6 linked regions of the Canis lupus familiaris genome follow. The protein of the gene in region 2 interacts with the protein of the main gene of each other region in a biochemical or structural test. Links are inferred from orthologs where the notes say so. Each region holds a gene or a part of one and is shown on either strand. Other genes may lie near its edges.

Region 1 (3,995 bases), about 6.9 Mb from region 2:
CTTCCCCACCAGCATCCCAAGGGACAGGGATGTTTTAATACTTTTGGTCACTCTGCATCCCCAGCACCATGCACAACATTTGGCACAAAGTGTGGGCTCAATAAATATTAAGTGAGCTGTCTGCTGATGACTCTTAAATCCCTGGGTTCTGCCCCGGGCGGGGGAAGCACTCTCTCTGTTCATTCAGGGAGCCCCAGTCCCCGCCCCTCAATCAGTTCATGTGTCCCGTACAGGGCGATGGAGATGCCACTCACGGCCCTAGAGAGTAGGGAAGGTTCATGGGAATCCTGAAAACTTTACCTGTAAGACAGAGATACGGCGATAACAATCACACATTGTAGGAAAAAAATGTCTTAATACACACAAAGCACTTCCCTCAACACACTGCCTGGTACACAGTTTGAACAGGAGTATTTTAATGAGGGGAAGGAGAGTCCCCCTGTCCTTCCACTTAGGGGAGAAATCACTAGGCTGAAGGGACTCTCATCCCAGGCCTGATGGAACAGTGACCTGAGAAGTGTGGGCATAGCTAGGGGACCTGGGGGCATGAGTGTCAACTTGCAGTTCTAGGTACTCAAAACATATCTATTCATTTCAGGTCCAGGGGAGCTTACAAAAATGTACCAGAAGTACCAACTCCTCAGGAAAACACACGTTTGCACACACATTTCCAGAAGTTTTGGGAGGAAGTTCCACGGACCCCCAGGTTTAGACCCTGCTCTCCTCCTAGAACCTTCCCATCTCAAAAATGGACACTCCATCCTTCCAGGTACATGTGTCCACACCCTGAGGTATCCTTGATCTCTCTTATACCCACATACAAGCTGTCGGCTTTATGTTCAAAATATATTTCCAAAGTGTGACAATTTGTCAGGCAGGTCCACTAATACCACCCTAGCCCAAGCCACATCATCTCCTACTAAATCACCACAAGTTTCCTGCTAATGCACCTGCTTCCACTTGTGCTCCCCTGATGCCCTTTACATAAAAAAACAATAAGGATCCTTTTAAATGTGTCAATCAGACAGCATTCTGTCCCTGCTCAAAATCTCCCCAGGGCTTCTTCTCTGTCAGACTCAAACCCTTAGTGAAGAGCTGACTCTTAACTGCTGCAGCTTCATATCCTAACACAATGAGGGAATGGTTGGGCGGAAGGTATATCCTCCATTCCTGGGGGAATCAAATTGTAGGGTGCCTGCAGGCATGCCGGGGTATGATGGAGAGACACAGTCCAGCATTGCCTCCCCGCCCATCATTTCATCAGGTCATCAGGTCTTCTTTCTCCTGAAGAAACCCACCCTCCCCCTCCACCAGATGACCCCATCTCTCCACACACGCAGGGAGGGTGGGAGAAAAAGGAAGTGCAAAGTGCAAAACAAAGACCTGTACTAGGAAACAGACCTTCTGGGTCACAGTGGAAGATTTCCCCAAACTCTAGCGAAGCAAGTTGTGGGGAGGGGCATTGCCTGATTTAGGAAGCCCCAAGTCACCAGGAAGAAAGACCCTAATTTTGTGCCTCTTGAGAGGAATGATAAAGATAACAGGAGGTGGAGACAAATACTATTATGTCAAGTCCTGTGCTTTTCCCCCTCGGCCTTATTGAACTATAACTGACATGTATATATAACATCACATATGCCAACCTGTTGATTTATTTGTACACTTAATCTATTGCAAAGAGATTACCACAATATGTACTTTTTCTTAACGTGATCTTGCTAAATTATAACTGGGCGCCATTTTACAAACGAGAAAACAGAGAAGTAAAGCCACTTGCCCAAGGTCACGCTGCAACTTAAGAACCAAAGCTAGTGCTGAAGTTTTGAACTGAGATCTTTCTTCTGTCAAAGCCTGCCCTCTCATCGATCTACCAACGGGGGAGGCGGGGTGGGTTCACCAGAATCTCGGGGAAAATCAAATGAATAAAATCACTCACGCGTCCTGTGACTATCTCCCTCCCCCACCCCACGCTAAGCCCGTCTTGGGCTCGTGAAGGTTCATCTCACCGCGAGTTGAGCATCACGATCACTCACACCTCGGAGACCCGCCCCTCGGGAGAGTAGAGAGCGGGAAAGTGGGGCAGAAAGGGCCACACACTCCCAAGCCGGGAGTCCTCATTCACTACGGCCCTCTCTGAGAAGCTGGTCTGGGAGCTAAGGGGGCTCTGGTTGCGGCGACACGCGAAGCAAACGGGGCTTCTCCCCGACCCCAAATCGGGACTCACCTCCGAGCCAACACATAATCCCCAAATCCCGCAGCCAGAGATCCAAGACCCCAGACGCCTGGATCCAGACTCTGGGTCGGTTGTCCCGACTGCCACCCCCAGCCCAATAACCGGGACCCCTAATGACGGCCTCAGGGAGTCGAATCCTAGCTCAGGAACCCCCTTCCAAACCCAGGACCCCCGACTCACGACCGTGACCTCCGAAGCCAGTCACACACCCCCAGACCAGGAACCCGCACCCCGGACTCAGCGTCGCTTCACAGGGAGGAGCCAAGACCCCCTCGCCACCGCCACGGGCGACCGGAACCAGGACCCCCTCCCCACTAGCGGCCGGACCCCCTGCCCCTAGGCCGGGGCCCCGCCCCTCGGGCTCCCGCCGGCCCCCAGTCCCCGACCCCGGCCCTCAACCCCGGCCTGCACCTGGCTTCATGGCGAGAGCTCAGCCCCGCGGCTCAGGACTCCGCGGCGGCCGGGACTACACGAGTCTGGGGCTTTCGCACGTGGAAAGGAGCGCACGCGCGGCGACGCACGGCGCGTGACGTAACCTCGCAGCCCCGCCCCTCGGAGCTCCTTCCGCGTCCGGAGCCCCGCGCGCGCGCTGTGGGCGGGGCTTCGCAAGCCTCTCAGGGCGCCGCCCCCGTGGGCGGCCTTAGGCGCGTCCATCGCGACGCTGAGCGCGCTTCCCGCCTTCTCTTGGGCGTGCGATCCTCCCCGGAGCCGGGGCTCGTCTCTTGTGCTCCCTGCTGCCCCTCTGCTCTGTTTGTGATTAACTTCCTAAGGTCTACACCCGAAAGCTTTCCCTGACCCATTTCCACCCGACGAACACGGACGATTCTGGGCTCACACATATGCAGTCGATTAAGCATTTATTTATTTATTTATTAAGATTTATTTATTTATTCATGATAGACACGGAGAGAGAGAGGCAGAGGCACAGGCAGAGGGAGAAGCAGGCTCCATGCAGGGAGCCCGACGCGGGACTCGATCCCGCGACCCCAGGATCACGCCCTGGGCGGAAGGCGGACGCTCAACCGCTGGGCCGCCCAGGGATCCCCGGAGTTCATCTTCTAGTGGGAGGAACAGACACCAACTAAGTTATTAGAAGGCAATAAAAGTGCTTTTGATGGAGGAACAGAGGACTAGCTGAGGACAAAGCACCGGCCCAGGGCAGCACATTGACAAGTCCTTGAGACAGGCAGAGGGACAGTCCTCTATGGACTCAACTGCCTCGATGTTAATACTTTGTTAAGGGCAAAAGGCAATATTAGCCTGACCCCCAGGATCCTGTGAGTCTACTTTAACATAAAAAAATTCCTTTAGAAATTTCCTTTATCTCTGGGATCCCTGGGTGGCTCAGCGGTTTAGCGCCTGCCTTCGCCCAGGGCGTGATCCTGGAGATGGAAGATCGAGTCCCACATCGGGTTCCTTGCATGGAGCCTGCTTCTCCCTCTGCCTCTCTCTCTCTCTCTGTGTCTCATGAATAAATAAATAAAATTTAAAAAAGAAAAAGAAATTTCCTTTATTTCTAAGTCTCCAAGATACATGTTGGCAATCATCCCCCAAGCACGTGGCCCACCGAGGTACATCTGAAGGGTCTCATGACTCAGGTTTTATTAGACGGTAATAAGTGCCCTTTTCCCAACAATAGCTACCCCCTCAAGGTGCTGGAAACCTTGCTTCCGAAATTCCTGAGAGAGTGTGCTATCCTCAAACCCCTCCCGGCTCCCAGGTACATAATCAGCCACCCCTCCCAGGCCCAAGGCAGCAGCCC
Region 2 (3,977 bases):
AGAACAGATCCTCCCCCCAATCATACCATGGCAACCCTAAAGGCCCCACCTGCCGTCCTGCCTCCCCCACGAGCCCCAAAACCTTACAACCCCACTTTCCTCTTCCAGGACCCCCCCAGAGCACCATCCAAGGGAGCACCCCAATACCTCAGCCACGCCTACCATCTCTCCAGTCTTTCTGCCCCCGTCTCTAGCTCAGCCCACAGCTGGGGAGGGGAGGGGAAGGCAGAATTGGGGCAGACACGGGAAGGGCAGGTGGGGGGGCTGGAAATGGAGTTAAGGAAGTAGCCACGGTACTTGGGGAGGCCAGATGGGAGCCACAGACCTGGAGGGTGGTTTGTACTAACGGTTTGGGGGCACAGGGTAAACTGGTTTGAAGCGAGAGAAATCATGGTTAGCCTGCTAGAAAGGGCCTGATAATGTGGCAAGATATATGTATGTGGGGAAGGGTCTCACAAAAGGATATTTACTTCTTCAAGAGGCGGCTGGAGGCTCATCCCATTAGCCAAGGTGGCTACAAAATTCTAGGAGAGAGTAACAGGGAGAAAGGATTAGCTACTGGGAGTGGCTAGGGGAGGGCCAGGCCAGGGGACCCCAGCTCACAGGGGAGGGGGTGTTTCCTGCAATTTTCTTTTTCCTTGGTGGGGAGTGGTGGCAGAGGGAGTAAAGAGGCAGGGCTGTTTTCAAAAGGGGGTGGGAAAAGTGGGGGGAGAAGAGATGGGGTTCTGTCCCAGCTACGGCTGGAGAGATGGTGGCCCGCCCCCACGTTGCCCTCTCTGGCCAGGCACCTGACCATACACACCTCCCCCATCCAGGCCAGAGGAGCTGGCACCCGCCAGGCACACAGGCACTGCCAGCTGTCACTCCCCCTCATCATCTAATCCCCCCCAGATTAGGTGACACTTCCTGACACACACACACACACCCCCATCCCAGGGTGCCAAGAGTAGCTGGGGGGGGGGGGGCGCTGGCAGTGTGTACCCACTGGGCATCTACCACCTTTGCAAACAAGCCTCTTGTCTAAGAGGATTCCAGAAAGGAGGTGTGGCACACAGGCACCCCTACCAGAGTTGGCACCCTGACCCCTAGCTCCTGCCTTGGGCTCAGGAAGCCCCAAACAAAACCACCAGCTGGAGCCAATCTCCAAGCTTCGTTCCCTCTTCCCAGGAAGGTAGAGTCCCAGGGAGGAGGCCAAACTCTGGCCCCTCAAACCCATTGACACCCATCCCAGGGCCCAAAGCCCCTGGGGTGTGGGGCCAAATCCTGAGGCAACCTCTAAAAGAGATATTTCCTCCACCCATACAGACTCTGGTCCAGGAGAGAGCCAAGGGGGATGGAAGTCATTGGAGTGACCCCTGGGGGCCGCTGGCCCCCAATGCTACAAGGTAAGAGGAGGGATCATGCAGGCCCCATCAGATGACATCTCTTCCGGATATGACCACTCTCCAGGCCCCTCAGAAGCACGAAGTCACACACAAGACCCACTCAGCTCCAAGCCCCGCCCCCATTCTCCCAAGCCAGTGAGGACACCTACAAAGAAGGGTGACGGGTAAGGGGATTTCCCACTGGGACCCATTTCTCAATACCACTAACACCACAGCCGAGCAAGTCCCAAGGGAGCTTGAAACAGCACCGGAACCAAGCCCACATGGCTGCACAAGAATCAAACTTCTCAGGACACCATCTCAAGCCTCCAGGCTCAGGACCCTCAAACAGGGCTTCAGAAAGGGGGAGGTCATCTCCCACCTTCGCGTATCTAGGCGCCGAGGAGAGAAAAGTCTCCAGTAGGAGGTAGCTTATATTCCCCCACAAGCTCTTCCCAGCAGAGACTCTCCCTCCCCTAGCCCGGGAGGGCTCCAAAGGGGAGGTGGGCTTTGGGACACGCCCCATGAAAAAGATGTCCCTCCCACACACCCAGAAATGGCCACAAGGGGGTGCACGACGCCTTATCGGGAAGAATCTCCTTCAACCAGAGGCCCCCCCACCACCCGGAGGGAGGTCACAGGGGCATGCCCCATCCCCCCAGCTCCCAGAGCCCCGGGAAGGGGGGAATCCAGGGACAGGAAACCGGGGGCCCGGAGGGAACCAATCCTTCCTCTTCCTCCAATCCCAACCCCTGAGTCCACGAAACCTGGACCGAAGCCTAAGGAGATGCCGCGGTATCGGGAACGGGGTTGTGGAGGGCCGAGCTACACTGCCCCTCCCGAGAGACTCTACTTCTCGGAGGGACAGAAGTGAGCCCACGCCGAGGGGTACGTCGCGATCCCGGGGGAAAGGGCAGGGGGCCTCCGAGGGAGGGTCGGAGCCTCCTCTCCGCCCCCCCCCCGGGGCGCCCCTCCCCCGGCCGGGGGCGGGGCCTTTGTCCCGCACGTGGAGCCCGTCGGGCCACCGGGCACGGCACACCCCCTCCCCACCCACCGTGCCGCGGCCACGTGGGGGCCAGGCCGGAAGCGCCCCCAGCCCTCCTCCACGTGGGAGGGGGCACGACACCCTCGGCTCGACAGAGTGCCGCAGACCCCCGAAAGCTAGGAAACCCGAACCTCTGACTGTATCCCGCGATCCGCAGCATGCGGCGTCCCCACCGTACGGCTGAGAACCTTCAGCCCCAATCCGCCCATTCGGGGCCCCTTCCCCACGACGGAGGCACAAAACATCGACCCCCAAACCGCCCCCCACCCCCGGCAGCGCTCCAGGCGCTCACCTCCATGATGCAGTTCGCGGCCTCGGCTGCCGCCATCTTCACCCGCACCTACTCCTCCTCCTGCCGCCGAGACCCCCCCCTTTCTCCGCACTCCCCCGGGACCGCCTTATACCGGAGGGTCCACGACCCGCCCACCACGACCCCGCCAGGAGATTTCATTGGCAACGGAGGCGGCCCGTCTGAGGATGTCGCTTGCTAATTGGGCAAAGAGAGACGCCCATCAAAGCTGAGGGGCCCGCCCAGTCTGGTGTGCGGAGCCCCGCCCCCTTAAGTCGACGGGGATGGGAAAGACTGCCCGTCTATCGCAAGAACCGTGACTGCTGATTGGGCAAAGTCTACCAGAAGTTCCCGCCCCTGTCCCCCCAGCACCGCCTCAAAGCTTCCCGGCGGGCCCCGCGTTAAGCGGACATCTTGAAAGGGAGCTGTCCATCATCAAAACAACCCGCCTCTTAATAGATGCTATTGGTTTATCCTGAGCGTGACGTCATGAAGCCTTTGCACCGCCCCCGTCAAGCTGCTGGTCTCAAGGAGAACGCGGCGATTGGCCCATGAGAAGGGGAGGAGAGACGGGCCTTTAGGCTCCAGCGATTGGCTCAATGAACAGTCACTCCTCAGCCACTCGGTGGATTCTCCCAGTCGCAGGGGAGGGGGGGGAAGTTCAGGAGGAAGGAGGGAGCTTGTGGTCATTTACCTGAGGGACAGACTGGAGACCTGAGAGGTCCAGAGAAAAGGAGGGCTTGTCTGGTGTGCGGTGCAAGTCAGCAAGAGGACTCAGGCCTCGAGACATATAAGCACCTAGCCCTCTACCTAACTTCCGAGTTTTTTAAATCCAACAACCCCACTCAAGCCACTTGGCCTTTGCCGAGTCCCTCCCCCTGCTAAAAACCCGCACCTCCCTTTGTCTGCCGACTCCTATATATCAGCCGGGGCACACCTTCGATGCCACCTCCTCCAGGAAGCGTTCCTCCTCTTACAGGGACCCATGATAAATTGAAAACATCATAAACTGAAAATGCATTCAAATTTAATCCACCTAGGGCGCCTGGGTGGCTCAGTGGTTGATCGGCTGCCTTTGGCTCAGCCATACCGGGTACCTGGGATCAAGTCCTACATGGGCGGGGCTCCCGGGGGGCTCCTCGCAGGGAGCTGCTTCTCCCTCTGCCTATGTCTCTGCCTCTCTCTCTGTGTCTCTCATGAATAAATAAATAAAATCTTTTAAAAAAAATCAGTGAAAGAATGCACAAAAGAGAACGTACTGTATAATTGTATTCATATA
Region 3 (4,265 bases), on a different chromosome or scaffold from region 2:
CCCAGAGCTTTTGAGCCAACTCTTGAAGGGTTAATGGCAGCAGCATCAGGACTTTCCTGTGGTTCCAAAAAGAAGGATTTTGGCCAAAAACAAATATCCCCAGTGGATACTCTTTGGGTCCCAAAATTCCATTGCAAATCATCCCCAAATTATTCAGCACACATACTCACACACAGAGCAGCACATAGCAAAGCGAAGGTTTTGTGCAGAGTACCCTTCCATCCCAACCCCAATAACCTCTAACTCCTGCCTTACTCCCCTGACCCCCATAAAACAAAAAGCTTTTGTTTCCTGCCTGGGAAGCAACATCTACAGGCCCCTGAGCATAGAATCAGAAACAAGTCATGATTTCAAGAAAAGTTGCTTAGGACAGAAGCGATCAGGAGAGGCCTTTTCACTCTGCCCTGGATCTCACTGGAAAAATAAAAGATAAGATTAGACAACAAAGCATAACTGAAGTCCAGGCTCAAATGCTCCTGAGGAGAGGGGCCAGGGATGCAGATGTCCTGCTCAGGACAGCAAGAGGTCTGGATTCGGCCTTTCTCCCTACCGCAGGGCAGCTCTTGACCCGTTCTCATTCACAGTTGCTAACCTTGCTTGCTCCCTCTCATATCTTCCTGGGGAGGCCAGCCAAGCTTCTCCCGCCTCGCCCTGGTCAGGCCCACCCCCTTGTAGGCAGGCACTGGCTCCCAGACTCCAGCCCCAACAGTTCTCTCCAAAGGCACCTGGGGAGACCACTTCCAAGCAGCTCCCTTTAAGGATTTTTTTCTTTAAAAAAAAAAATCTTTTGGGTTTTTTTTCTCTTTTCTTAAAAAAAAAAAATATATATATATATATATATATATCTTCATTTAAAATACAGTCCCCCAGGTTGAGGTATTCAGTGGCCTGTTGTCACGGCAGAATGAGTACAGTAGAGTGCCTGGTCAGGGGTGGCAGGGGATCTAACTGGAGACTGCCATCACATAGTTTTTCGAGGGGCTGCTCCGGCCCAGCATCATTTGGTTCTTGCAGGTGAGGAGCCCATAGGAGGCAGCCACAGGGGCCTCCTCGTACAGGACGCAGATGGAGCCATCCTCCCCGATGCGGTAGGACACCTCATAGGGGTCCACCCACAGAGTCAGCTCACTGGGCAGCAGCCGGTGCAGCTGGGGCTGGCTGAGTCCGATCTGGCTGGCCACCTTGCTGATAATGGGGTCCATCTTATGGTTGATGCGAATGCAGCGGTAGCCTGAGCCCTTGGATGGCTTCTCAGGAAACCAGTGGTGTTTGTAGTGCTCTGTGGGGATGGAACAAAAGGGAGATGGCTTGGTTAGAGTAGCTGGGCTGTGGAGGCTACCACAAGGGTGGGATGGGAATGAAGGGATAGAGTAGAGGAAGGAACCCAGAGATTTTAAGTAAGCAACGTGGTTTCTCATGAGTTCCAGGACCCTCCTGGAACCCTCCTGCCACCGAAGCAGAGGAAATTATATGGGATTCCTTCCTCACTCCTTCTAGGCAAGGATGTGAGTGTATATGGGGAGGGAGTCCCCATAGTTCTGGGGCAATCCCAAGCAGACAGTGTATTGCTGTTAGCACACACACACACACACACACACACACCCTCCGGTTAAGAAGGAGGGGTGAGACCCGAGGACATGTCCAGGCAGTGCTCCTGGAGACAGATGAGCTGAAGTTGCAAGGCCGGGAAGGCTGCCATCATTGCTGTGGATCCACAGCAAGTCACTGTGTCTCCCACCCTGGGCCTCAGAGGCTCCCTCTTGCCTCCCTCAAAAGCCAGAGACCCTCTCTGCAGTGGCTAGGGAGCCAAAGCTGGGTTGTTTTTGATGAAACGTATGTTGCTCCTCAGAAGGCAGGATCTGTGTGGGCAAGTTCGGAGATGGCTATCGCTGCCCCGAGCCCAGTGCCGAACCCGCTAGAACAGCTGAGATAGGTCTCCCCCGGTTGCTTATCTGTCGTCAGCCCCAGCACACAGGCCAGCAGGGCGCAGTTACTACCTGCAAGGCTTTCTCAGCACCGTAACGAGGGGCAGATGGCTAAGGGGAGCCAAAGTGTACAGACGGGGCCGGGATTCCAACTTCCAGCAAGTAGCAGCCGGCCCGGGCGCGGCGCAGCCCGAGGACCCACGGCAGATCCACGGCCGAGGATCCAGGTCGCTGAGAAGCTCAGTGGCACCTTCTCGCCCCACAACGACCCGGTGGCTGGCGGGACTGCCCGTCCGCGCCGCCCCGGGGAATCTCGCTAAGGGCGGGGAGCTCGCACCCGCCCGCAGGCGCCTCTTCTCCGGGGGCAAGGGCCGGTGCCTGCGCCCGCGACCGAGCGGAGGAGCGCGCCGGGCCAGGGCCGTCCCGGGGGGACCCGAGCGCAGGGCCGGGCGGGGCGTGACCCAGGGCAGCGGAGGCCCGCGCCGGCCGCCCTCGGGGCTGGGGGAGCCCGAGGCCCGGAGCTGCTCGCGACAGCCCTGCCCTAGGAGGAAGGCAAGGCGGCGCGGGCGGGACGCGGGACGCGGGACGCGGGACGCGGTGGGGGTCGCGGCCGGGGTCGGGGCCGGCGGCGGGGCCGCGCGGACGCCGGGACGTCGGCGAGCGCTCACCGGTTAGCGCCTCCTGGAGGGCTCTGCTGAAGACCTTTAGCCTCTGCTCGCCCACGCAGCCCCGGGTGCTCAGGAGGCTGGAGACGAAGCCCGCGGCGGCGGCGATCTCCGGGAGCACGTCTGCTCTGCTCGCGGTCCAGCGGGCCCGGCTCATGTCGCGCGCAGCTCGGGGGCGGCGGCGGCGGCGGCGGCGGCGGCGGCGAGCGCAGGGGAGGCCTCGGCGGGACGGTCGGCGGCGCAGGGCTCGACTCTGCGGGACTTGCCCGGGACGCGCCTTTCATACTGTTCCGAGAGGCGGGGGCGCCCGCGGCGGCCCCCATTGGCAGCGGCCAGCGGATGGGGCGGGCTCGGAGGCCGCCGCGCCCCGCCCCGCGCGCCCCGCCCCGCCCCGCCCCGCCCCGCCCCGCCCCGCCCCGCCGCCTCCTCGGCGCTGAGGTCATCGCCCGCTGACGTCACTGCTGGGAACCCGAGCGGCGCTCGCCGGCCGTGGGCGGCGCGGGGAGAGGGGGGCGGCCGGCTCGCCCCAACCCGGGAGTGCCTGCGGCCCTGCCCCGCCAGTCCCGCGACGCGGAGGTCACCCGCCGCCTCTTCCAAGAAGCTTCGCGGACACCCCCTCTCCCACGAGCTCCCTTTTCTGGCGCCCACGTTTTCCAGTGTCAGAACCACTCACCCGGACGCTTTGTCACCGCTTTACCGCTGTGCTGCGTTTGTGAAATAGGCTTCCCTGGGCTCTTCGGAGATGGGAACCAAACCTTCTGTTTACTTCGGGGATAGTCCCGCCTCCAGAAAAGCTCTGTGCTTCCTCTGCACCAGCGCCTTTCTCTTGCCCAGCTGCGTCCCTGTCCCACCTCTCTGACGGCCAGGGCCAGGGCGATGTCGTAAGACTTTTCTGTCGGCCCAACTTATCTTCCTTGCTCTCGCTGTCTTTTAAATGCCAACATTTTAAAATAAGTGTCCAGCTCTCAACTGCACACAACTTCCCATCCACTTCTTTCTCCTTCCCTCTTCCCCCAGCCCTCTCTCTCCTGTCCATCCTTCTTATGGACTGAAGTTCTTGTAAACACGGTCTCCTGGGTAAAGAATCTCCAGGGTCCACATGCAGCACTGGGCCCAGCGCCTGTGATGGTGCCCGGCGCTGGGCACCATCTCCGGCGCTGGCCAGATGTCCCCTCCATCAAGCTAACTTCTAACCAACATCCTGGGGTCTGGCATAGTAGGTGCTCCATATTTATTTGCTAGGTGAGTCAAACCCAAAGGCGCCTGTAAATTCTTACTTTTCTTGAACTCTAGGTCCTGGTGACCACCTCTGGAGGCAATCCCTCCTCCTTTTCCTGGGCACCTGACGCCAGGCTTCTCAGCCTCCCTTCCCCAGCTCTGTCTGCCCTGGATCCGCTCCTGCCCCTGTTCCCTCTCTGTGTTCCCGCACTCCTTTCCCTTTTCTCTCCAATTGCCTTCCTCAGAGAAACCCTGTTTATGATGATATCCACTCTGATGTTTACTTTTTCACCCCTGACTGTCATATCTGCATAGTGTGTGTCCTTTCATCCTGCTGCTACCACCTCCTGCTCTGTCCTGCCCCTTAGGTGTCCAGCCACCAGCTCAATGTCAGTCTAAGCCCACTGTCTTCCCCAGCTACCTTCCTAGTCAAAGATACCATCACTTCCCCAGGCAC
Region 4 (3,969 bases), on a different chromosome or scaffold from region 2:
AAGCTTTGCCGGGGGAGGAGTTTGGAGCTGTAAGTAACCCTCTGCCTGCCCCCTGACTTTCAAGCCTTTCCTTTCCTGCGCCCCCACCCTCCCTGCACCCCGGCCCTGGTCTCCTGACCCCTCCTTTTCAAGGGGCCGGCAGCACTCAAGAAGCAGGAACTGCATGCCCCCCCACCATTGTCCTGGACCATCTACAGTACACGACCGCTCCCCAAACCCACTCTCCAGCTTTCTACCCTGTGTCTGCTGTCCATTCCTGTCACAGCCTGAAATCTGCAGAGGAAGCAGCTTCTGGAGGAAATGAAAATTTGCAGCAGCTCCTTCTAGGCTGTGAAGCCCCTGGGGAAGGAGGAGAGGGAATCCCAGCAGGGCAGGTGAAGGCAGAAGCTCTCTTTATTCTGGGGCCTCCAGAGCCTGCCAGGGGCCCAGCTGGAACGGAATATTCATTCACCGAGCTGGCTGACCAGACTGTCTTAGAATGAGCAAGAACGGGCAGAGGCTGAAGGTAGAGGTTTTCTTTTTATATATACAAGACACATTAATCCATTAAATTCGAGGACACAGTACAAAAAAAAAACACTTCAACTAATTCATCTGACAATGCTGTTCATATTCATGACGCCATTTTGTTGTTGTTTTGTTTCCTAATAATAAAGGAGGAGACGTAGGGCTGTTGGGCTGATATATATTTGGGGGTCCCCCTGCCCCACCTCACCTATACACCACCAGGGTGAACAGGAGGAGAAGGAAGGCGGGGCCCACAGCAAAGTTTCATAATCTTGAATGCAAGGGGGGAGGAGGAGAGGAAAGGGGGAAAAAAAAGGAGAAAATACAAATCCTATAATACATACAACAGAGTAGGGGTGGTATGGGGACGGGACAGACATGAAGCTGAGGCATAGGGTGGGACACTGGAGGTAGGGGCAGCGGAACCCCCCCTTCCTCTCTCTCTGATGCCGTTTCCGTGGTTGCCGGGCAGGAGGGGGGTCAGGCCTCAGTTAGCCCCCCAGCTGTAGCTGTTGTAGGCAGACTTGTTGGTCTGGGGCTTCTGCGGGATGGAGCTGGTCTGGCTACGTTGCCCGCTGCCCGTCTGCAGGGAATGGGATGATGAGGAGGAGGAAAAAGGTGTCTGGTTAGTGGGACAAATCTGTGACATCTGCAGGTAGAGCTCTGGAAACTGTCTTGCTCTCCCACTCCCCTTGCTTAGAAATGACTCTGAAGTTTACTTCCCCACCACAGAAAATTTGGTTTCTATAGGTGCTAGAGGACCTGTGACATGGAAGAGAGCATTTTCAAGCTTTGAACAGGGGAACAACATAAAGACGGCAGAATACCTTTTGGAGACAAGACAGTGAATGAGTTCTCCCCACTTTCAATTCCACTTTCTCCCTCCACTCCCACCTACACTGCTCTGAGAAAAGGCTCTCTCTCTCTAGAGAGAATCACAGCCTCTTGGAGAGGAGTGATCACACGGAGATTTCATTTTCATCAATCCCATGAATACCTCAATTTGGAAAGCTGTCTTATCCCAGCTCCTCAGCCACCTGTGATGGAGGAGAGGTCACTTGTACCACCCCAAGCTCCCCACCCCTACCACAGAGCACAGCTGAGAGCCCACTGCAGGTGAGGTAGGAGAGACAGTCTGAGGCCCCAGGCTCCAGAGGCTGCCCCAAGAATCCTTTCCATTCCAGTAACCAAGTGCTTCCAGAGTCAGGGAAGGGCAGAAAGAAAGAGGGCGCTGGGGAGGGAGGACAAGAGAGGAATGGGAGGCCAGAGAGCTCAGCGAGGTGTCTGTGTTTGTGTGTCCTGATCTGTGACCGTGCAGCCTTTCCAAGTTCCCTGACGCTGTGGAGGTGAAATGGGGGCTGGAAAGGAGTGGGTTCAAGCACATCATCATTCAGTTTCATTACCTGCTCCTCCTGCTGGCGCTGGCAACAGAGAATCATCTGCAAATATGGTAGCTGAGGCAGAACCAGGATATATGGAAAATAAAGGGACAAACTTTGACAATAGAACTCCACCATTAGAAGGGAAAGCTACAATGTCAGGGAATGGGGGAGGCTGGGAGAGGTTGGAGGGGAGGCGTGACCCAGGTCTGATGGGATGAGGCAGCTGTGTTATAGGAGGCAGAAGAGAAAGGCCCCAAAGGAAATTTCAGCCTGGCCCCTTCTCTGACATCTCCTCTGCCGGCAGCTGGTGTTATGTGCACTTGTGTGTGTATGTGCTGTGTGCCCATGGCTGGCGCTGGGAGGGGTAGGTGAAGGTGGTTGTGAGGAAGGGTAAGAGAAGGAAAGGGAGGCAGTTGTAGGGGACAGGAAGGAAGAGGAAGGGAGAGGAGAGGGGGAGGGCTATTACCTGGCCATCCTGCTGCAGGTGATGGTGGAGGATCTGGGAGTGCGGCTGCTGATGGGGGGTCAGAATGTGCATAAAGGGGGCAGGTGGGTAGGCAGCAGCTGTGGCCGGATTGATGGGCCCCCCACTTCCTAGGGCTGAAGGCAAGTTGAAGGAGGCAGCAGGAGTACCGGAATGAAAACCTTGTTTCTCAAAGGACTGCTATCCAGAGGGATGGGGAGAGACAGTAAAAGGGGTCAGCAAACCAAGCCCTGGAGTTTCAGAGCCCAAGTCCCCCACCCCCCAAGAGCAGTATGCAGCAGAACAGCAGCACTAAAGGCACGTGAGCGGGTCTGCTCTGTTCTCCAAGGGCTGTGGGATCCTGAGAGAAGTACTCACTCATTCTGATCTTTGCTCACACATAACCCAGGGGTGCTGACTCCCAGCTGTCAGCACAGCAGGAGAGGACAGCTGTGAGCGTGCTCTGGGACTCTACCATCACAAACCACCCCCACCGTGCAGCTCGGGCATCCTGGTGGCAAAGGTCTCGGTCACCAAGTGCTCCACCATAACTCCGAACACTGCATGTATCAGGCTTAATAGTTCAGATGCACTCTTCCGTTCCCACCTTTTGTTTTTACAAAGAACGGAACTAGTTTCCCTTCATTCCATTCTCTTGGAAAGTTGCAAAAAGGCTGGTGGTATGGAAAGAAAGGACAGTTGCCACAGTAAGTCTCAAGACACATCACAGCCACCTGCCACGCCTTACCTTCCTGGCACACTTCTCTTGCCTTTCTCAGAGAGCTAAATTTAAAGTTCTTTGAGAAACTGAAATCTAGAGACCACTCATCTTCGAGGACAGGTTTCCTACACCTCTTGGGGTCGTGCTTGTTCACTGGACTTCTGTCACTGCAACACCACCTCCTCTATGCCCATCTCTTTCCACTTCTAGGCACCTACCTGGGTTTTGGAGTACACAGAACCCGAGATATCTGGCACGCCCGTGTTACTGGAGGTGACTGATACACCTGGGGGAGGAGGAAACAGACAGGAGGATTAGCTGGGCTCGCTGCTGGCCCCTCTCTAGACAAGGAGATGGCGTGTGCGGCCTTTCTAGTTACCACACTGCAAGGGGACTCTGGTCTGTTTTTCCAGCTCAGGTCAGCACCGAGAGAGATGAGAGCTCATGACCCAAATCTCTTGTCCTTTCCAGGTTATGTACTGAGAATGTATGTGAGAAAGTGAGCTGAGCTACTTTTTGTGGGGCAAGTGGATATAGCCAAATCTCACTAGCATATAGTTTTCAAAACACTTTTGTGCCAAAGCTGAAAAGAAATGTAATAAAATTTTAATGTCCATTTCAAATCAACCCACCCAGACTCCACCCAGTCCTGCTCCTAAGATAGGTAATCTGGGCTCTTCCTGTTCAGAAGAGACCTTTGGGCTCAGGATCTGTGCTTTCACAGCATAAGAAAAGTGCTCAAGGAGCAATCCAGTCCAGCCCCAAGAGCGTGGTCTGTTCTTGGGAGTCTCAGCTTCCCTGGCCCGGCTGCTCCAGTCTTGGCTCTTCTCGGCTATGTACTTCTGACTTAACGAGCTGATGCAAAGGTGCACTTCCAGCTAACTAATTTAAGCCTA
Region 5 (3,500 bases), about 37 Mb from region 2:
AGGGGATCCTGTATCATAAGTGACCCTCTAATTAAAGTATCCATTCAAAGACTAGCACTAATCAAAGTATAAATGGAAACACAGACAAATCTACAGTACAAAATTCCTGAGTTTCAAATGGAAAACCAATTAATGATACCCAGAAGAAAGGGTTTGTTCACCCCCATCATCAACATAGAGATATGTATCAAGATAAATGGCTATGACTGAATGATGTGAATTCTAAATTTTAAAATTTTAAAATGAGAATGCTTCAGGATACCTTTAAGTTCAGGAACACAAATAGAATGTGATTAAATGACACGCTGACCATCCCACACAATATAGGCTGGGAGATCTTTCCAAAGCAGAGGCCTCCAAAAAAGGACTGAACCCAAACTATGAGAATAAGGCCCTCACAAGTGAGAAGGACACTGTGAATGATCATACGGCTGACTGGCTCTCAGGGGCTCCTCCTCTTGGGGGCCTGTCTTTGGAGTCTCCGCAGTTAGGCAGAGGAAGCAGAGCTGCTGCAATTAACAGAGTACAGAACTCCAGGTTGTTTAAAATGATCAAGTACTCCCAATTAAATGTGCTTCTAAAGAGCTTGAGCTGAACCTAATCTAATCATGAAATGCAGAGCAGTTATCCTGTGAAATGGCATTGCTCAGGAAACACTGTACCTCTCTTTTGAGATAAAAATGAAATGCCATTAACATTCAGTATTTGCACAAAGCACAGCTCTGGGTTGAGCAGAAGATGCACTGTCACCATAACTGCTTTGTATGAAGTGTCAATAGGTCAAGTTCCAACTCGTTTTATGAACAATACTGATAAAATTAGGCACACATCACATCTGATTACTCCTAGGTAGAAAGCAGAACACCAACTATTAATGTCCCATTTGCACCTCAGAAGTGGAGAGGGTCCATCCAGTTCCTAGTCAGTTAATCCAGAAAATCACCTCTAGAGAAGAAAATGTCATGCTTACATCATCTCTATACTTGGATTTGTGTATCACCACTGCTTTGGAAGGGACAGTGGACTCAGGTTTTCGGATGTTAAACTCAGGCTTTGGTCTGGTCTGTTCTTGAAGATTTTTCCACTCATCGAGGGTCATCTCTTGAACTTGAGTTTCTTCTTCTAACTCCAACTCAGGAACTCTATAAAGAAGCAGAAGTTTTTGATGGTTCTTTTTTTTTTAATTTTTATTTTCATTTATGATAGTCACAGAGAGAGAGAGAGAAGCAGAGACATAGGCAGAGGGAGAAGCAGGCTCCATGCACCGGGAGCCCGACGTGGGATTCGATCTCGGGTCTCCAGGATCGCGCCCTGGGCCAAAGGCAGGCGCTAAACCTCTGCGCCACCCAGGGATCCCGTTTTTGATGGTTCTAAAATGCCTGTGTTCTCATACGCAAAGTCATTACTCTTAGTTTAGCCACTTTCATGGTCCCACATCTAATTTACATAAGGTAAAATCTCTGAACCACAAGCTTCCCTACTTTAATCATTTTATGGTATCACTGCTAACTAAAGATACTTCTTGTCTGTCTTTCCTTTTTTTAAAGTAATCTCTGTGCTCACTGTGGGGCTCACACTCACAAGCCCAAGATCAGGAGGCGGGCACATGCTTCCCCGACTGAGCCAGCTAGACACCCCACTTCCCATCTGTTTGTTTCAAAGCTGTCTTTGAAATATGGGAATATCACCATCCCATTGACATTACACTTCACCTCCAGGCATTCCCTTCCCAGATGGCATTACACACAAAATGAGATAACTGCAAAAGAAAAGGGAGAAGCTATTGAGTCAAAACAAATATAGGCAATCATGAACAGAATCATAAAATGGTGGGTTACACATACATACTTTTGTAAATATCCTCTTTGAATTCATGAGATTTTAAAAGAAAAGAGAAGACAGATATATGAGAAATAAGGCCCTCACAAATGGAAAGGACACCATGAGTGATCCTGCAGATTCAATGGACTAGAATTCAGAGCACAAAAATAAATCCTTGTATTTACAATATTTTTTTTCAAGCAGGTGCCAATGACAATTTAAAGGAGAAAAAATAGTCTTTTCAACAAATGGTGCTGGGAAAACAGGATACCCACATGCAAAAGAAGGAAGCTGGATCCCTACCTCACACCAGAAATATGAGTTAGAAATACAAACCCCTTAAAAGATGATACAGGCACCAATCTCCATGATTTAACATTAAGCAGTGGTGACACCAAAAGTGTAAGTAACAAAAGATAAAGTAGACAAACTGGACATCACTAAAACTTTTGTGCTGCAAAGGACACCGTTAAGAAGTAAAAAAAACAACTCATGAAATGGTAGAAAATATTGCAAATCATGTATCTGATAAAGGACTTACATCTTACATCTTGACTCTTACAACTCAATGAAAAGAAATAACCCAAATGGAAAATAGGCTAGATTCTGAATAGACATTTTTTCCAAAGATGATCTCAAATAACCAATAAGATGCTCAATATCATTAGCCATCAGGGAAATGCAAATCAGAACTGCAATGACACTCCACACTCAGTAGGATGATTAGAATAAAAAAGACATTTAACAAGTGCTGGTGAGGATGTGGAGAAATTGGACTCTCATACATTGCTGATGGGAATATGAAATTGTGTGGCCACTTTGAATTACAGTCCAGCAAACCCTCAAAAATTTAAACAGAGTTACCATCTGACCTAGCAATATCACTCTTACATATACACCTATGAGAAATGACAACATATGTCCATGTGAAAACACACAGCACCACAAATGGAAATTCAATAATGCTGTTTATTCATAATGCAGCATTATTCCTAATAGCCAAAAAGTAGAAACAGCATGAATGTCCATCAACTGATGCAAAGATAAACAAAATATGGGTTATCTGGGATGCCTGGGTGACTCAGCAGTTGAACATCTGCCTTTGGCTCAGGGTGTGATCCTGGAGTTCTGGGATCGAGTCCCACATCAGTCTCCTGTGGGGAGCCTGCTTCTCCCTCTGCCTGTGTCTCTGCCTGTCTCTCTCATGAATAAATAAAATCTTTAAAAAAATGTTCTGGAACCAGTAACAGTGATGGCTGCATAACACTGTGAATGTAGTAAATGTCAGTTGTACACTTTAAAATGGTTAAGCCTGTAAATTTTATTTATATGTATTTACCACCAAAAAGAAAGTATACATACATCCTATGGCATGGATGAACCCCAAAACATAATGCTAAGCGAAATAAGCCTGACCCAAAAGGACAAATATTATATTCCACTTATATGAGGTACCTAGAATTGGCAAATTCATAGAGATATAGAAGAATAGAGGTTATTAAAGGGTAAAGGGGATGGAGGAATGGGGATTTATTATTTCATGGATACAGCATTTCTCTTTGTGATGATGAAAATGTTCTGGAGATGAATGGTGGTAATGGCTGCACACGAAGTTACAGGTTCATGATATGAAAACTATTAGTGAAATCAGAAGAGAAACCTAATCATAGAGCATCCAA
Region 6 (4,004 bases), on a different chromosome or scaffold from region 2:
AGACACAAAGAGAGAGAAGCAGAGATGTAGGCAGAGGGAGAAGCAGGCTCCATGCAGGGAACCCAATGTGAGACTTGATCTCAGAGTCACGCCCTGAGCCAAAGGCAGACGCTCAACCGCTGAACCACCCAGGCATCCCATCCCAAGAGATTCCTATTCCTATTCATTAAGTATTTTAACCCTCTCAGAAGGGTGTAGTACAAATAGGGAAACCCACATTATGTACATATTAGGATCTCAAGGTACATTCTACCGTTTGTGTATCACCATGATACATAGTAATCTGACTTCAAACATCTTTAAGCAAATCATTTCCTCCCTGTATGAAAAACCTAAAACTGGGCAGCCCAGGTGGCTTGGTGGTTTAGCGCTGCCTTCAGCCCAGGGTGTGATCCTGGAGACCCGGGATTGAGTCCCGCGTTGGGTTCCCTGCGCAGAGCCTGCTTCTCCCTCTGCCTGTGTCTCTGCCTCTCTCTCTCTCCTCTGTGTTTCTCAATTAATAAATAAATAAATAAAATCTTTAAAAAAAAAAAAAAAAAACCTAAAACTTTCTCCATTTAGGGAATACTCTCCTCTCCACATTTCATTGTCATGCTGAAGGGAAATGGGAAGGAGAATATAAACAGAAAAATTCAAAGTCAGAAATAAAAGGAACCAGAATTACAAACCAATTAAATATTTGTTTGAAAAGATTCAAACTCCAAAAAAAGTTCAAGGGTTACAGACTACGAATAAAGAAATACAGTTTCAACATTTCAGCAATGTTTAAGAAAAGCAACATTCAAAGAGCAGGAAGAGGCGGGGTAACCCACTAAAAGAGACTCACTGTTCTGGGTCTGTCCATAAGAAGAACCATAGCTGCTCTGGCCGTAGCCTGAAGTGTCTGCTGACTGACCGTAACCACTGTAACTCTGCTGTCCATAGGGCTGATTGCTCTGCTGGGAATAGCCCTGCCCAGGCTGGGTGGGGTAGGCCCCATAGCTGGAAAAAAAGAAAAAAACCAGTGGAATCAAGAAAAGATACCTTAGCCACCCTTGCCACCCTACGAACTGGAAGTCCTGAAACAACACTCACCTTTGGGTTGCTTGTTGGGTATAGTCTGCAAAAGAAAATACAATTACATTACCTTCAGCCATCCTTGAGAGTATAACAGAATTAAATTTCTTAACTCAAGCCCTGGGGCCTTCAGATAGTATCAACAATGTTGCAAGAAAAGGCAGAAATTCCCTCATGACAGGAAGGACAAGATGGCAGGTCATAATCAAGTTTTCTCCCAATGGATACCAAGAAGTCTCACCAAAAACAAAACAAAAAAAAAAGAATCTTGGTGGTAAACTACAATGTTCTGTGAATTCAACTGATGTCAGGAACTGCACAAACCTACATAACATTTTATTTTCTTACCTACTCTAGGGGAAAGGTATCATCAACAGTCGAGTTAAAGTCACAAACTGGGGACAGATTTTGATGCAAGCCAAAGGCAGCAGTGAGGGGGATGCGGCCTCCACTCTCTCAACCAAGCCCAAAGAACAGATAGGTCTCAAATGAGGCCATTCTTCACCCTTTGCCTAATCTTGGAGAATGACAACGTGGGCTTTTTTAGTACAAAGCCACGTAACCAAGAGAACTCTCCGACCCCAAATAACAGAGATCATCACAGAGTTCGCTTTCGGAGGTCAATCAACTGGGACTCAAGTGCCAAGCCCCGTGCCTCCAAACGATTCCGTCTGCTCATCTGCATTGCCTTCCTCGAGGGCTGTTGGGAGTCTCGGCAAACCAAATGTCGCGAAAGCGCTTTTAAATCGCCCCCAATGAAGGCGCACCAACCCAGATCAACTCATCACCTCCTCAGTACAGGAAACGAGGCGCTTCCCCCGCAGGAAAAGGGCAAAAGATCGGGAGAGGGTGTGGCCTCGGGCGGCCGTTCCTCTCGACTCCCACCACGGAAAGCGGAAATTTAGGCGGGAAAACCCTCGGGCCCGGTCCCAAGTCCGTTAGACGACCCCCTAGGGGCCTCCCCCAAACCGTTAAGCTGGCGCACGGCCCCGATCCCGAGCCTCCGCCCCCGGCCGCGTGGCAACCGAGGCGGGAAGCAGGCGGTCCCGCCCCTTCCCGAGGGACCCCCGGGGCTAGGCCCACACCGGACGCGCGCTACGGAGCCTGCAGCGGAGAGTATCGCGACAAAAAGCAGGGCTAACACGAGGCGGGAGGGGGGTTCGCGCCGCGAGAAAGGGGGGAGGGGCCAGCAGGGCGCGTGCGCGCACCGAGTGCCCGGATGCAGCACTGCGACAAAGCGGGGCCCGAGCTCGCGGCTGGGAAGGGGGGGGGGGAGGGAAGGCTTCGGGACCGAGCGTTTCCATGCGTGCCTCACGTTTCAAATTACCAAGAAACGTCCGTGTCAAATCTCACCTCAAGTAAAGGCACTGAGACGGCAAGATCCCCTACCACGCGCAAGGCGCCGGAGAAGCGAAACAAAATGGCGACACAGGCCTCCCCCCCCCCCCTCCACCCCTCCCGTTGCTTCCCGCCACAGCGGTGCGAGAAAACCCTACACGCGATCCGCCACCCGGGTCCCATCAGAAAAGAAAAAAAAAAAAAAAAGCCCAGCTGGGAGGGACCGAAGCCCCAGGCCGGCACGCCGCCGCCGCCTCGCGCCCTTACATACCGTTGGAGGCCATGTCCGCGCACGCGCGCACAGGCCGGCAAGCAACAAGGTTCCAACACCGCAGAGCACCGACGCCTCGAGGACTGAGCGGCCCCGCCTCCTGCGTCGAGACTTATGTACGTCTCCCCCGCCTACGTACCGCGGAGGAATGCACGAAGTGCGGAGAGGGAAGGGGGGAGCGTGGCTGGACTCTGCAACCCCTCAGGGAGTACCGAGGATCCTCATAGACAGAGGGGAAGCATAGCGATTAAGAAACTTGGCAGGCAACATACATAACCCTATTTTTCCTAGCAAAGTACTCTGACTCTCCCTGCAGGACTGGCCCAAGCCTCACCTTCACCCCCTAGAAGGGCATCATGGTACGGTCCATTGACCCCTCCCACCTGGGGGTGGAGCGAGGGGCCCAGGGCGTCTGCGGACGCAAGTGTAGTCGAAGCCGGGAGTCGCGGGGCGGGAACCGAAATTCTCCCGGCTGGCCCCTTTCACTGGGCCCCACTTTCACTAGGACGGCGAGCCCCTGCGCCCCGGTGCCCTTCCACTGCACCAGATGCTTGGTCCCTGCGGCGCCAACCTCCCTCTCCGGCTCAAACGTTCCTCCCCCCCCCCCGACAACACACGCCCCGCGTCGCAGGTTCCCCCTGCCATCATCTTTCTGGTTTGCGTCTCCCTTGGTCCTTGCCAGCAATTGTGGATCGTGACGTCCGACCTGAAAGGAGCTTAACCCGGACCCCAGCCCTGATCGCCCACCAGACCTCTTCTGGATTTTGCCCTTGACTTAGCGGTGGGACGGGAAAGCCCAGGCCCTCCTGGACGTCAGAGCCGTTGAGATTAGATTAGGGTCTCCCTTACTTCTTTTACTGATGCAGAACTTTTTTTTTTTTTCCTAAAGCCCTACCAAGGAACCAACGTGGAGGGTCAGTGATAACTGATATTTATAGAGAGTGTAAGTGGTTTCAAAATGTACAATCAGGGGCGCCTGACTGGTGCAGTCAGTGGAGCGTGTGTGACTTGATCTCAGAGTTATGAGTTCCAGCCCCACGTTGGGTGTAGAGGTGACTTAAAAATAAAATCTTCAGGGGCGCCTGCATGGCTCAGTTGATTAAGCATCGGACTCGATTTCCGCTCAGGTGGTGATCTCAGGGTGGTGAGATTGAGCCCTCTCTTGGCTCTTCGCTCAGTTGGGGATGGCTTGAGGTTTCCTCTCCCTCTGCCCCTCTTCCCTGCTCCCACCTCTGCTCCTGCTCCTGCGGTGTGCCCGCTCTCTCTCTCAAATAAATAATCTTTTAAAAAGCAACGCTAATTGATTGTGTTCCCATCACCATCTTGTGAAGAAAAGGTA

What was found.
Region 1: of the proteins of PRMT1 (region 2) and FBL, one has a biochemical effect on the other in vitro, tested with the Homo sapiens proteins (2 studies listed by BioGRID). The link is inferred for Canis lupus familiaris from reciprocal best matches to the Homo sapiens genes PRMT1 and FBL.
Region 3: the proteins of PRMT1 (region 2) and BTG2 form a complex in vitro, tested with the Homo sapiens proteins (2 studies listed by BioGRID). The link is inferred for Canis lupus familiaris from reciprocal best matches to the Homo sapiens genes PRMT1 and BTG2.
Region 4: of the proteins of PRMT1 (region 2) and UBAP2L, one has a biochemical effect on the other in vitro, tested with the Homo sapiens proteins (2 studies listed by BioGRID, with this or other methods). The link is inferred for Canis lupus familiaris from reciprocal best matches to the Homo sapiens genes PRMT1 and UBAP2L.
Region 5: the proteins of PRMT1 (region 2) and HABP4 form a complex in vitro, tested with the Homo sapiens proteins (2 studies listed by BioGRID, with this or other methods). The link is inferred for Canis lupus familiaris from reciprocal best matches to the Homo sapiens genes PRMT1 and HABP4.
Region 6: of the proteins of PRMT1 (region 2) and FUS, one has a biochemical effect on the other in vitro, tested with the Homo sapiens proteins (3 studies listed by BioGRID). The link is inferred for Canis lupus familiaris from reciprocal best matches to the Homo sapiens genes PRMT1 and FUS.

Annotation. Positions count from the first base shown.
Region 1 is NC_049222.1:114,418,048-114,422,042, reverse strand, and holds the start of FBL (rRNA 2'-O-methyltransferase fibrillarin), read right to left. Parts: upstream 2,801-3,995; 5' UTR 2,655-2,800; coding exon 2,645-2,654; intron 1-2,644.
Region 2 is NC_049222.1:107,533,427-107,537,403, forward strand, and holds the start of PRMT1 (protein arginine N-methyltransferase 1), read right to left. Parts: upstream 2,801-3,977; 5' UTR 2,738-2,800; coding exon 2,702-2,737; intron 525-2,701; coding exon 471-524; intron 264-470; exon of another isoform or gene 166-263; coding exon of another isoform or gene 148-165; intron 1-147. UniProt on the Homo sapiens protein: Arginine methyltransferase that methylates (mono and asymmetric dimethylation) the guanidino nitrogens of arginyl residues present in proteins such as ESR1, histone H2, H3 and H4, FMR1, ILF3, HNRNPA1, HNRNPD, NFATC2IP, SUPT5H, TAF15, EWS, HABP4, SERBP1, RBM15, FOXO1, CHTOP, MAP3K5/ASK1, MICU1 and NPRL2.
Region 3 is NC_049259.1:667,098-671,362, reverse strand, and holds the start of BTG2 (protein BTG2), read right to left. Parts: upstream 2,801-4,265; 5' UTR 2,748-2,800; coding exon 2,594-2,747; intron 1,280-2,593; coding exon 945-1,279; 3' UTR 1-944. UniProt on the Homo sapiens protein: Anti-proliferative protein; the function is mediated by association with deadenylase subunits of the CCR4-NOT complex. Activates mRNA deadenylation in a CNOT6 and CNOT7-dependent manner. In vitro can inhibit deadenylase activity of CNOT7 and CNOT8.
Region 4 is NC_049228.1:42,959,714-42,963,682, forward strand, and holds the end of UBAP2L (ubiquitin-associated protein 2-like), read right to left. Parts: intron 3,360-3,969; coding exon 3,292-3,359; intron 2,554-3,291; coding exon 2,356-2,553; intron 1,962-2,355; coding exon 1,911-1,961; intron 1,091-1,910; coding exon 995-1,090; 3' UTR 501-994; downstream 1-500. UniProt on the Homo sapiens protein: Recruits the ubiquitination machinery to RNA polymerase II for polyubiquitination, removal and degradation, when the transcription-coupled nucleotide excision repair (TC-NER) machinery fails to resolve DNA damage.
Region 5 is NC_049222.1:70,930,740-70,934,239, forward strand, and holds part of HABP4 (intracellular hyaluronan-binding protein 4), read right to left. Parts: intron 1,143-3,500; coding exon 971-1,142; intron 1-970. UniProt on the Homo sapiens protein: Ribosome-binding protein that promotes ribosome hibernation, a process during which ribosomes are stabilized in an inactive state and preserved from proteasomal degradation.
Region 6 is NC_049227.1:17,230,614-17,234,617, forward strand, and holds the start of FUS (RNA-binding protein FUS), read right to left. Parts: upstream 2,801-4,004; 5' UTR 2,679-2,800; coding exon 2,666-2,678; intron 1,100-2,665; coding exon 1,075-1,099; intron 982-1,074; coding exon 827-981; intron 1-826. UniProt on the Homo sapiens protein: DNA/RNA-binding protein that plays a role in various cellular processes such as transcription regulation, RNA splicing, RNA transport, DNA repair and damage response. Binds to ssRNA containing the consensus sequence 5'-AGGUAA-3'.